2 linked regions of the Caenorhabditis elegans genome follow. The protein of the gene in region 1 interacts with the protein of each later gene in a pairwise test. Each region holds a gene or a part of one and is shown on either strand. Other genes may lie near its edges. The genes, in order: asd-2 and exc-7.

Region 1 (4,856 bases):
CATCTCTCCAGATACCTGTCACTAGAAATTATATCGTTCTGTTTCCTTTCACCATTTTCTTGCCTTCCGCTTTCATTTTTTCCTCATAAAACGAATCATGGGAACCCCGAAAAGATAGTGTTGATTGAACGGAGACGGATGATGGAAAAAGAAGAAAATACGCGCGCACACATGTTGTCAGTGATGGCTTTCCAGTGATTTTCCAATTTTTATTCGCGTGTGTTCTATATTGAGCTGCTCATCGAATGGATAAGTGTTTATTCTCTAATTACATTCGGATTGTTTTCCATATTGAACATAGTTAGTTACCGAAGAGATTATCTTCTCATCAAGTCTTTGCAATTAATGATATTTTCTAGAAAGGTTTTTTGCGGCGTCCATTTTTTCAAATTCTTGACGGAAATCCGACATTTAGAGCCAATCAATTGAGACAAAGTCGGGGTCCTTTAGTGCTTCCCGATGGCCTCAAATAGCAACAACTGGTGCGGAAAAGTGGGCAAAGAAGAATAAGAGGTCACCTGGCATCGTTACAACTGATCCGCCTGTCATTCTGTCCGTCTAAATCTCTCTAATCCGTAATCTATCGTCATATAAGTTTTCCTGAGCTCATCATCATGTCTTTCACTCTTTCTCTTCGTCCACTTCTCACTCATTTAAGCTTATTCCTTCTTCCTTTGCTTCTCGTTCGAATACTAAAAGAAAGGGTGTATGAAGATGATGACTATAATTAAATCTGCACGCGGCATGTATTAATTCATATTTAGTGGTGGTAGAGGACTCATAGTTTTCTTCATTCCCTCTACCGTGCAGTGAGACATTACTTTTGGAAAAATTTATTGAACTTTACAATAAATTTGAAATATGTAAAGTTGACATATATTTATACCGATACGATAGGGAAGCCAGCTTTTACGAGCACTTTTCCAGAAAACTTGTGTTTTACATCGAAAATACATTTAGCATGAATCTTTTCGCTCAAAATATTTCTGAAAATCTGAAAATGCGAACCCTAATTAATATTTAATTCGATTCGCGGATTTGCCAAATTCTCTTGTTATTCCTCGAATTTCTGGAAAACCCACATCTCGTTTTCTTTCTCTAATATAATCTTAATTCAGATTGAGCAATTCTAAACTTTCAATTTTTCCAATAAATTTTCTTAATACTCTTTACCCTTCCAATACCCTATCCAAAATACTTTCGTGTCAATTTTTCCAAGAATTATTCATATTTTTGAGGTGCAACTCTCACCCCAGTAAGAGAAGATTTTCATTTTTACACGAGGTAGCTTATAAATATCGATGAACTTATTTTTCCAAACAATCTGAGCTTCTCAAATCGAAGCAACAAGTGATATCACATTCAAAATAATTTCTGTCAATGTGGACAATTTCAGTCAGTTATTTGAAAAATACTGAAATTTAAAAAACCTTGCCATTGGAAAATATTCATTCATTGAAAGTATGCTTTCAATATTCTTGCCTCTTATTTCTTTTAGTGCCGCATTCCAACGATGACCTTCTCATTGCAATACATTTGAAAAATGAAAGTGTATGCCGACTGCCTAGGTGTTACGTAACTTGCCATCCAGCCGATTCGGTTTCTTCTCATTTGTTTATTCGCAAATAAAACACCTTATGCTTCTTAGCTCACTTTATCTTTATAGATTTTTATTAATTCAAAAATGACTCCAGTTTTAAATGTTTAATTTCCAGCCGTATTCCTGTCTTCACGCCACCCAATCGATTCTTCAAGTGCTAGGAGCTGTCAGGTAAGCTGTTATTTCTTTTAAAAATTTGTATTTAACTGTAAATAAGTAGAAAACCATTAACTTGAGAAAAGTTCTTCCAATATCCTTTCACCAATTTTATTCTCGTGTCTCGGACAATTCTATTATTCCATCATGCAAGCAATGTACCGGAAAATTGGTGCATTCATAAGGTGCATTCATAAGGCCATCCTTCAATTTCCTTTTACAAATGTTACCTTTTATTGTTTTTATTTTCGGTCCTCTTCCCCTTTACCTACTTTGTTCGGAGCTTTATAATCCTACAGTAATCTCTTAAATCTGAACCAGTTCCCATTGAATTCTTCTTTCCTCTACTTTTTAACATCGATGAATGTGGGTAACCACGGGTGTTAATATCGGGCAATAACGAAATAGTGCAGACTTCACTGGAGAGACCGTCAGAGAAATACCGACAAAGTATGTAATTATGTTCTCCTCCTTTCACCATCACTTCGATGTATTTACTTGCAAGTTTGGAGTTTGTTCACATTTTCAATTCTCCCTCTTATTCTTTTTTAAGGTCAATGCTTTCAGTTCAAAAATAATAAAGCCATATCACTTTATTAAAATTCCATAAAAATCTAGAATACCGTATTCAATATTAACTCTTTGCGTTGTTTTCTTAGGGACCATGAATCAGAAGTTGAGGATTTGACTAAAAAGGATATGGTTATAAATTCAAATAAATGAATCATTCAAACCTGACGTGATACATGCTCATTGATTATTTCGATGTTTCTAACTTTCGAATCAGTAACCTGATTCTTGACGATTTCGTGGAAATGAGTTACATTAACAACATTTTGATACTCAGACTCTCCCATCTTGAAAATCAGAAGTTGCTGTTTCTTCAGGTTCATCGATAATTGAGTCTCAATTCCGAGTCGTTTAACAGTATAAATTCCGCATGATTTCTCACTTTCACTGCCGTAGGGAAAATAGGAAGCACAGTTTGCAGTTTCTTCTGAAATTTAATTTTTTTTTGAAATCTGAGGTTTAAAATTTTACCCGGGTCTAAATCAGATATAGTGTGAATTGTTGGAATTCCTTTATGTAGAATCATTTGCCAAAAGTCTTGTGTCTGTTCTGGATCTGGACTGTTGGCATAAATTTGAATGACATTATTCAGACGGTTTTGAGATTGAATTGGATATGAGCCGAGCGATTTCTGTAGATCAAATTCCTCGGTTTCCAGTTTAACGAGATTTTCAACTTCGTCAGCTCCGCCAATTTGTCTTGATTGGCATCCAGACAGTGAGATCTGAGATGATGAAGAGGTCAGGAAACCCAAATAGCAAGATTTTTCGTAGAGAGCCTTTCTATAAAGAATGTTCGATTTTCATTTCACGGTATCGAAATCAAACCTAGCGTTGGCCGCCTGAATAGGTTGTGTCACGAAATCTGGAACACTGGATCCTTTCTTTTCAATGAGATATGAATTACGCTCCACAAGTCTATCCCGGAGAGGACTGAACTGCATTGGACCATGAAAAAGCCAGTGTTGAGTTGGCTTTAAAAATATAAGATTTATTATTTATTTTTTGATAAAAGCTTACCATATCATTCAAAAGATCTTTTCGAAGATTCTCAAACTCTTCATCTTCTTTTGTATAATCTTTTGATGGATATTCTTGAATATCTCGTTGACAGTGCCAAACAACATACCAACCATAATTTTCTGGTCTAAAAGTTAAAATCAAATCAGTATTAGTAATCTGAACACATTAACTTACACTAGTTTGCATCTTACTGCAAACTTTTGAATTTTGCAATGTCGATATGGATATTCTGGATCTGTCAATCGTCGTACAATTATCTGTCCACATTTGAGAATCTCTTGTTTATCGTCAGGAATATATTGCTTACAGTTGGCCCCTCGTTTCTCCAAAAACTTTCCAAACATTGTAATCAAGCTGATGCGATCTTTATGGCACTGAGTCCAAAAATCTTGTGTTCGAGTTGCGTCAGGGCCCTGAAAGAGTTATAGTGCATTTATTAATTATAATTTCACTTACCAGACATTCGAATTCCAACCCATGACCATTGATTGAAGACTCTACCATGTCAAACTCGTAGCTATTCAGAACTTGCTGACAGCAGGTTTTTTCTGAAATAAAATAACGATACTTGCGATGAAATAAACTGAAACTCACTATCTCTTTCATAATCCTCCTTTGTTGGAATCAATAAATTGGGCTCCGAGTCTTTGTGATTTTCATATTTTTCAAGAAGAGCATTCATATCATACTTTGGCCATCCATTTTCATCATCACTCAAATCAGTTAATAAATCATCAGCTTTACATTCAAGTTCATCAATTTCCTTCAAAATCTCTTCTTTTGGTTTTGATTTACCATAATTCCCAGGAATTCTTCCATGTTCGAGTTCGAAAAGTTCCTTTGGTGTAAGCATGGTTTTACGCTGTTTCAAAAATTCTCGATAGTTTTCCGAGCATACAAGTTCCCTTATATTGGAATGAGTTACATCAATTCCCTGATTGGCAAGATATAACAATGGATCAAATATCGACTCAACACTATCATCACTGGATTGTATATCAAGATGTTCATCGTCAACGCCACTTCCGGTAACATCCACCTCACTTCCAGAAGACACACGTGAGACTTCGGAGACATCACGAGAGATTCTTGAATCGGGAATCGATTCTTCGCATGTTTCTGGAATGACCGGCACTTCCAATATGAAATCTTGAGACTTTGCAACAACGGCGGGACCAGATTCAATATCGACTTTTGTATAATATCGATCCGCTGGTGGCGAGATTTTCGCCTTTTTTGATGATTTTGCACCCATTTTGTGCAAGTTGGAAGACTTCAAAACTCGTAGAAGTTTAAAATGATTGTCTTCGCAAGATTTTATAATCGTGGTTTATTGATCTTCCCTTGTGTACGTTGAAATCAATAATTATGTTTTCAAATGTTTTCACGTCAAAAATGGATTCGTTTTCAAGAATGTTCATATTTTCTGAATATTATCATTCAGTCTTTCTTCAAATGATTTTTAAAAAATAACATTTTTTAATTTTTCTTTGAACAACTCGTGCTCA
Region 2 (7,906 bases), on another chromosome or scaffold:
CTCCACCAAGAACTCCTGTCAAAAAATCGCGATACCAACAAACAATGCCGGAAGTCAGTCCACCCAGAAAGATTCAAAAGTTATTCCAACGGAAAAATTTATTTGATGAATAGGAAGGGAATGTAAGTTAACAGGTAAGTTTGCTCTTTTTTCTTTTATAAAATTCGTTTGTTATTTTGACTTTTGAAAATTAAAATTAGGAAATTAAAAAAAAGTTATTTAGAAATTAACATATCTCAAAAGTGAAAATAGTAATTAGGTGTTTGCAACATCTTAAAAAGCACATTTCACAATTAATAAACTTTCAATTAAAATTGCAATAAAATTACGGGGGAAATTTTCAAAATGTCAATTTAAAATAATAATTTAATTTTCAGGTCCGTTGTTTTTCATTCAGGTTCAATCGGTTAAATATCAATTCCAGTTTTTAACATCTCATATCATCGATTGGTACAAGTTCTTCCAATCAGAAAATCGAGTTCAGTTTTAATCATCAGCTTTGTTCTTCTTTTTTCTATAAAATAAATTATTTATCACTGAAATTGGTATACAATTTTTATTATACACATTTTAGTTTTAATATTTCAAAAAATCTTTGTAAAAGAAAAACAAGGAACCCAGTATAAAAATCAGAAAACTGTACGAAATACTGAAAAGTGACGGAGGATTTGGCATATTTTAGGTAAAATTGATAAAAGTTTTGAAGATGTTAAAGCTGATTCAAGGTTTTGGGACAGGGGTGGGCAGAAGCTCATTATTCTCAAGGGGCGTGGCTTATTTCGTTACCGGAATTCGATTGGTTTTGCTCACAGTTGCTCATGAAAGGGGATGGAACACAATGGGGGGGGGGGGGGGGTGACTAGTAGCACACAAAAAGTGACTGGAATTTCAGAGGGGGAAAATCACAATTTCTTTGGTTGGGGAAGAAGAAGAAAATGAAAAGAGAATGGGAGACAAGTGACTGGAATGATTGAAATTAGAATATTTTTGCAAAAAAGTTTAAGCTCGATATGGAGTTGATGACTTGAAAACTACTTGAAGCGTCTTTCCAGCCAAATTTGTGCCATTCAGAGAAAGCATTGCATTATAGGCTTCTGTGTAGTTGCTCATCGATACAAATGCATATCCTTTGCACTGTTGTGTCAGGTCTCGTAGAATCTCAAATATTTCAAGTAAAAAATTTTCCATTTAAAATTTCTTGCTTACCTTAACATTAACAATTGCTCCAAACTGTGAGAATAACTGCCATAACAGTGTATCATCAGTATCTGATGAAAGATTATATACGAAAAGGCAATATCCAGCAGTATCTGATGGCGGTAACGTGGCAGCAACTGAAGCTGACAATGCAGATAACTGAGCATGAGCTGCTAATCCAGCAACTTGTCCATTTGTTGCCGGAGGGCTCGCTGTTTGTGCAGCATGTTGTTGAGCAACTGCGTGTTGTTGTTGCTGATGCGCTATTAATGAAGCTGTGAAATCAGGTACGGCTGTTGCTGTGGCAAAAGGGTTCAGGCCAGCAAGAGCATTCAACTGAGACATCTGAAGAAGCGCAGAAGTTGTCAAATAGTCAGCAGGAAGTGTAGCGGTTGGCTGGGATACTGCAGTGATGGCGCCCATTGGGGAATATCTGAAATATTGGAAATTGGTCTTGAAAATGTAAAAAGAAGAATATACAAACTTGAAAATACAATTATTATCAATCAAGATTTCTTCGGGCTTACCTGTACTTTGAAGTAATTGGAGCATGGTGCATCGGTCCGATTCCTCCAGCAGTTGCTCTCAGCGTCGGTGCTCCAAGAATTGTGCTCAATGGTACCAGTGTTGTGGCGGCTTGCTGTACGGCTTCCAGATCACTCAGCAGTCCTTTCGGATTGTTACTTGCTGGATTATTTGCGAATTTCACTGTGATTTGCTCTGAACATCCTGATGGAATACTTCCATTTAGTGTTTTAATTGCAACATCAGCTTCGTCTTTTTTGTCGAAACGTACAAATCCAACGCCTTTTGAGAGTCCTGAAATAGCTCTAATAAAAAATGAAACAAATTATATTCCGTAAACAATCAACTATATTTTTCTTAATTTTGAAAATTTACACATTTCACATAATTTTAAAAACACACCAGTTACATTATCTGACAATATTCGAGATGTGATAATCTGTCCAAATGGCCGAAAAATCGATTCCAATTCGTGCAGAGTCATCGATTTTGGAATTCCAGAAACATATAAGTTTGAACCTTTGATTTGATCATTTGATGGACGGGCATATGATACCTGAAAATTTCAAGTTATAGATTACAATTTTAATATTCTAAAATTTAACTTTGTATTTTTACCAGTGAATGTTTTTCTTTTACATATATGAAGAATGCGAATTTTCAAGTAAAAATATAATTAAACATTTTCTAAGCGTTTTGTGCACATCTATTGCTCCTATTAGTGATTGTTTGAAAGACGTGAGACGTTTAACGGACGTTTAGACACACATTTAGAAGCTAAAATCATTATAAATCGGGAAAGGGGTTTCGCGAAATTAAAGTTGAAATTAAATTTTGAAATTAAAATATTAAAATAAAAAGATTGAAAACTTAAAACAAAAATTGCACAACAGGAGCAAGGGGGTGTTTTCTAATAGTCAAAGGAACACCCAAACAATTGAAAAATTAAAAACTTTTTTTGAAAATAAAAAAGAGTGAAAGTAAAGTAAAAGACAAGTAGCATGTAAATCAACTAAAAATAATAATATTTTTCCGAAAAAAAAAAAAAAAAGTTGACACCTTGATCGTCTTATTCTGCAATCGTAGGCCATTGAATGAGCTGACTGCACGAAGAGCATCCTCTTCTCGGACGTAATTAACAAAACCGTAACCAAGGGACTGTCCTGAAATGAAAAAACACCAAATGCCGAAGAGAGAAGAGAGAGAAAGAGTGTGAAAATATAACAAAAGAACAATTATTTATAGGTTACGGGTTTAGATTTTCTGATTGTATTTGTAGAGCTCTCTTTCTGAAAAATAATCTCCCTACATCTTTTTGCTACAAACAGTTTGCTGCTTATTCTAAATTAGTTCACATGATTTAATGGTATGAAACTATTCCAAAAAAGTATTTAGATATCACAACTTTAGAATTTTAACAATCCCTATTCAAAAATGTTTAGCACAAAAAGTGAATGTGAATTCTTGGTGTACAATTGTGTGTGTGTGTGAGTGATTTTGAAAAAAATAATGAAAAGTTGAAACGAATATCAGAACATCACGGAAAAAAGTAATAACCGAAAAATGAAAAACTTTAGGGGGAGTAGGGCGGGCGGGGCAGCAGCAATCACACACGCACACATGTACAGATTTACAAAAATCGATCCGAAAGAAGAAAATAAAATTATTTGTGATCTATCAGAAAAGAGGCGTCAAAATCTAGTTTCATGCTAAACTTTTTCGGCGAGACACAAAAAACGGTTAGAGCAACTCAATTCGTGGTTGGGAATCAAAAATCAGTCAGAAATAAAAATGATAAGGCAAGGGGTGATCTAGCTAGATAATGTTTGGATTTCGAAAATATATAAGTTTAAAATAAAATAATGAATAATATAGAAGTTCCTCCTCACCTGTTACTTTATCTCTGACCAATTTACAAGATTCAATTTCTCCGATCGATGTGAAAAGGGACCGAACTTCTTCTTGTGTCATTCCTTGTGGCAGATAATTGATAATTAAATTTGTTTTTGATTCTCCAATATCCACATTTGGCGCGGAGCAGTATCGTTGTGTACTTGTGTAGGTTGTCTGCAAAAAATATAAATTTAAAATTTAAAAGCGATTTTTGTATAATGGTCCCGGTTTTTCGAATGAAAATCTACGATTTTCAGATGTAAAAAATTCTGAACTCCCTAGATAGAAGTCCCGTTTTTGTCAATTTACATAAATAATACACCTCGTATATTTTCGGGTGCCTAGCATTGGTGAGAAGCGTCGGTAACCCCGGAAATTGTTCATTTTTTTCATTTGGGAATAAATAAATTATTATGTTTTTCTGCCATCTTTGTCCAATCTGACTATATATTCCATTTTTGGAGGTTACATCTGACCCAAAAATATTTCCCCTATGATTTCCAATCTTTCATTCCACCGGGAGATCTCAATTTTCAATTTCAATTCTTTTCTCGCGCGCGGGAGGGCTCTTCGGTACAAGTAACCGGAGAATTCATCCATTTCGCTGTCCATTATTTGGCCACGTCTCAAATTTCCTGTGCGTGAGCAAGTCTATATGGAAGAGATGGAGCCCCCCGCATGTTCTTCCCACCTCCTGGTGTGCTCACTGGAAGAGCAACAATACCCATGGGTATTTGAGAGGGAATAATGTATGAAATGAAATATATGCAAACGTTTTTTTCTACGCTGTTGGAATGAATAGACTTTAAGAGTTTTTTATAGGATCTTTGATTAAAGAGTTCCATATGCGTTTTATAGAAATAAAATTTTGAACCGTCCGGTATTGAGGAGGAACGTAATTTAGCAAAACTGTGATATAAATTCTAGTAGATTTCGAATTGAATTTTCACAAAATTTTAAAAGTTTTTAAATTTTAATTTATAGGTCTTCTATCAATTTTTTGAAGAAACACTTCAAAAAAACTGAAGAAAATCGCTGAGTTTTAGAATATTCCATATATATAGTACCTCTAGAAATTTAAATTAAAAAAAAAACTTCGTTTCTACCAATTTCATTAGTCATATATTGCACAATTATGATATTGTTAATTCAGCTATATTTTTTCAATAATCAAAAAACTTTTTAGAAAAAAAGAAAACAATTTTCAACAGGAAATCTAAAAATCTAGTATTCTCTTGTTATTTTTCAATTTTTCTCTCCATATTTTAATTTTCATGTCATTTCCACTCCCATCCACCAACACCACAACACATCATCATAATATAGGTGGATGAGCACGCAGGAATCTGAGCTTCTGAGCTCTTTCACAAAACAAATATTTTTATTTTTGGTCCTTATTCCTCCCTCATTCCTCCCTCAAGGCGTAATGAATGGGACGTATTTTCGAAAAGGAGTGGTTCGGAAAGGCGGAGAAAAGAGAAGAAGAGTAAGGAAGAAGGCTTCTCGGATTTTGAAAAATTGGCATTTGGGAATTGGGAAGCTTTCTTGAAAGAATGACACGTCAAATGCACACGCATGTATACCAAGTTTGGACTCGGGCTCACTGACGGATTGGACATTGGGGAAGAAACAATATTCAGATTTATGGTTATTACTAGAATTCAAGGCTCAACAATTTGTTTAGCTTTTAGATCTGAACGGAGCCTAAGCATCCAGTTTACCTAGTCCGAATTTTAAACAACTGTCATGATCAGGTTCTAAAAGCTTTTTTTAAACTTTTAATTTAACTAATAAAAAAACCATTCACAGTTAGAACCTGTAACAAACTTACAGCTCTTCAAAATTACCGCAGTTTACTGTTCTACTTTTAAAATGTGTATCTTTGCTATGGTTCTATATTTTATTAGTTGAATTTTTGTTGATAAAATCTTAGGCAACCAAAATATGAAATGTTACAGTCGAGTAGATTTCTGGACTTTTTGTAGACCTCAATGTTCAAAGATTTTGAAAACCGTATTTATTTTTGTTTTTTTTTTCTACTGCTTCTGGACTTTCATATAGATCTTTCCTAATAAAAATTGAAAAAAAAAATTACCTGAACGGGACTCGTCGGAACATTGTTGTTATTCGGTGTTAGCAACGCTTCCATCGTCATTTTGAAGACCGAATTTTGGAATTCAAAAATTCGAATTTCCTATCCAAAAATGCGTCGTTCGTTGTCTTCTGAAGTTGACACACCACCACTTCTTCCACTTGGTCTGTCAGGAAACAAAAGAGGGCTCTTTTCAAAAAGAAAGAGCTCCGGTTGTTGTGAGAGCAAAGAGAAGGAAGAGGAAAAGGGGCTCAGGGGGGCGGGGGGCCCGTCGCGAGGATATATGTAGAAATATGCACAAATGGGCGTGGCCTATTTATATTTTGTGTATGTTTGTGTGCCGCGGCTCCCCGTATATGCTCCGTTCGTTTTGGGCCGGCCGAGACTAGGGGAGATGGATCTGTAATTTCATAGGTTTGATAATTAATTTAAAAAAACATATCAGAGAGCAAGAAAAATAGAAGTGAAATAAAAGTAAATGGAAAACGTTTAATATCAGTGAAACTTTACAGAACTAGTTGTACACCATGATTTTTCACAATCCTACTCCACTCAACTGAAGCTGCAGAATTATGGCAGCGCACAGCATGACATACCTATACTCTGCCACTCAATTCCCTGTTGTTTTCAATTCTAATTAGCTTTGTTATTGGTTTACATAGACGCATGAATATATCTCATTGCCAATGAAAAGAACATTTATTGTTTTTATTATTGCTGGTATGATGCTTAGTTTCTAAATACCTGTGTATGTGTGTAACAGGTAAAATGGGAACTGTACGGATTATGAGGTAGGTAAAGTTTTAAAAAGGCAGATAAGAAGCCGAAAGACTAGGAAACAAGAACTACTAGAAATTGCAGGAAACTTTCCACAATCTATATAAAGGAATTCAGTTGTATAAGATTTTGGATCATGTGCTCAGACGGAAATGAAGGAAACAGGTGAACTTGACACATTATATGGATACGTATACACGCCAATTACGGCTTGAATAAGTGTATAGTGAGGGTCCAGACATTACAAGAATACAGTGTGAAAGCTGAATTTCATAATTTCCAACATCATAGAAAAAAGAATAAGAGCGCATCATGATTGAGGATTTTTGTGAGGGCAGGTGTGGAAACAATGGTTGATCAAACATGACTGACCTGGTTAGTGAAGGATATAGGGGAAAAGGATTGAAGATGACACGTATTTGAATAGGTGTTCGGTAAGAGGGAATACGTGAAGCCCGGTGGAAATTTTGTGGCTCTGGGAAGTTTGAATTTTTAAAGAAACGTAGGGGCTACGAAAGAACGAGTTAAATAAACCTATAGAATACCATCAACCATTCTACAGTAACCCTGTTACTTGCTCCGATTCCAGTTTTCTTGAACTGGAAACACTCCATCGCAAGTTTGCACCATCTAGTCAAGAAAATATCCAAATGCTTCTGCAATTTTGCAACAAAAAAAAAGGATTCCGCTGATCTTGAGAATATCCCAAAACCTGTCTAAGCACAAAACTTTGGCAATTGGTCACTATGGAATGCTAGGAAACAATAAAAAAAATCGACATCATTGTCATCTCAAAATAACTACCATAGAAACGGTGATCGACGATGAAACGCACTCTTCAATTGTGGTTTTCCATTAGTCCTCTTCTTCACCGCCTCTCGTCCCACCCCATACAAATACACACGACACGCACAGTTGAATGAACAACAAAACCTGAATAGGTAGAGAGGGGGACTCAATTATGTGTTAGTTAGGTAGAGGGGGGTGGCCCCCATATTGTTGTGTGAAAAGTGGTGCAGAGGAGAGGGCGGCCGGATGAGAGTACGTACCCCCGCGTCGGCGAGATTCATAATTGCTCAGGCCCTTTTACAGGATACAGTATTTCATGCCTTCGATCCGTTCCCAATAATTAGGTATGGCCCTTCCATTTGGACTTTTGGTTTGAGATAAATGACTACTAAGTACTTCAAACTACATTTAACCCTTGCGATTTTGGACTTTTCGGGAATTTCGGATTTAGGGGTTTTCGATTTCACAAATCACGGATTCAAAGACTGTAAAGTTCAAAGCACGGTCAATGGAGGATATTTTCGAAAGTTTACTGCAAAACTTGACTTTAGAAGAAGGAGATCACGATCGGATTTAGATTTTTTAACTGATACAAATTGCCAGTAGGAACTTTTAATATGAAATGCATATGAT

The links.
Region 2: the proteins of asd-2 (region 1) and exc-7 interact in a two-hybrid assay, tested with the Caenorhabditis elegans proteins (2 studies listed by BioGRID).

Annotation. Positions count from the first base shown.
Region 1 is NC_003279.8:6,889,001-6,893,856, reverse strand, and holds the start of asd-2 (K Homology domain-containing protein), read left to right. Parts: upstream 1-1,713; 5' UTR 1,714-1,771; intron 1,772-2,334; exon of another isoform or gene 2,335-2,411; coding exon of another isoform or gene 2,412-2,444; intron 2,445-2,490; coding exon of another isoform or gene 2,491-2,753; intron 2,754-2,797; coding exon of another isoform or gene 2,798-3,108; intron 3,109-3,153; coding exon of another isoform or gene 3,154-3,299; intron 3,300-3,345; coding exon of another isoform or gene 3,346-3,472; intron 3,473-3,522; coding exon of another isoform or gene 3,523-3,761; intron 3,762-3,804; coding exon of another isoform or gene 3,805-3,896; intron 3,897-3,942; coding exon of another isoform or gene 3,943-4,603; exon of another isoform or gene 4,604-4,655; intron 4,656-4,856. Other genes in the region: C48B6.4 (Tyrosine-protein phosphatase domain-containing protein), read right to left, coding at 2,412-2,444, 2,491-2,753, 2,798-3,108, 3,154-3,299, 3,346-3,472, 3,523-3,761, 3,805-3,896, 3,943-4,603. UniProt on the Caenorhabditis elegans protein: RNA-binding protein that binds to the 5'-NACUAAY-N(1,20)-UAAY-3' consensus sequence in pre-mRNA introns to promote alternative splicing.
Region 2 is NC_003280.10:9,574,172-9,582,077, reverse strand, and holds exc-7 (RRM domain-containing protein), read right to left. Parts: upstream 6,108-7,906; 5' UTR 5,771-6,107; coding exon 5,711-5,770; intron 3,790-5,710; coding exon 3,612-3,789; intron 2,886-3,611; coding exon 2,782-2,885; intron 2,279-2,781; coding exon 2,125-2,278; intron 2,017-2,124; coding exon 1,725-2,016; intron 1,631-1,724; coding exon 1,207-1,630; intron 1,159-1,206; coding exon 1,000-1,158; 3' UTR 543-999; downstream 1-542. Other genes in the region: Membrane-associated tyrosine- and threonine-specific cdc2-inhibitory kinase wee-1.1, read left to right, coding at 1-113.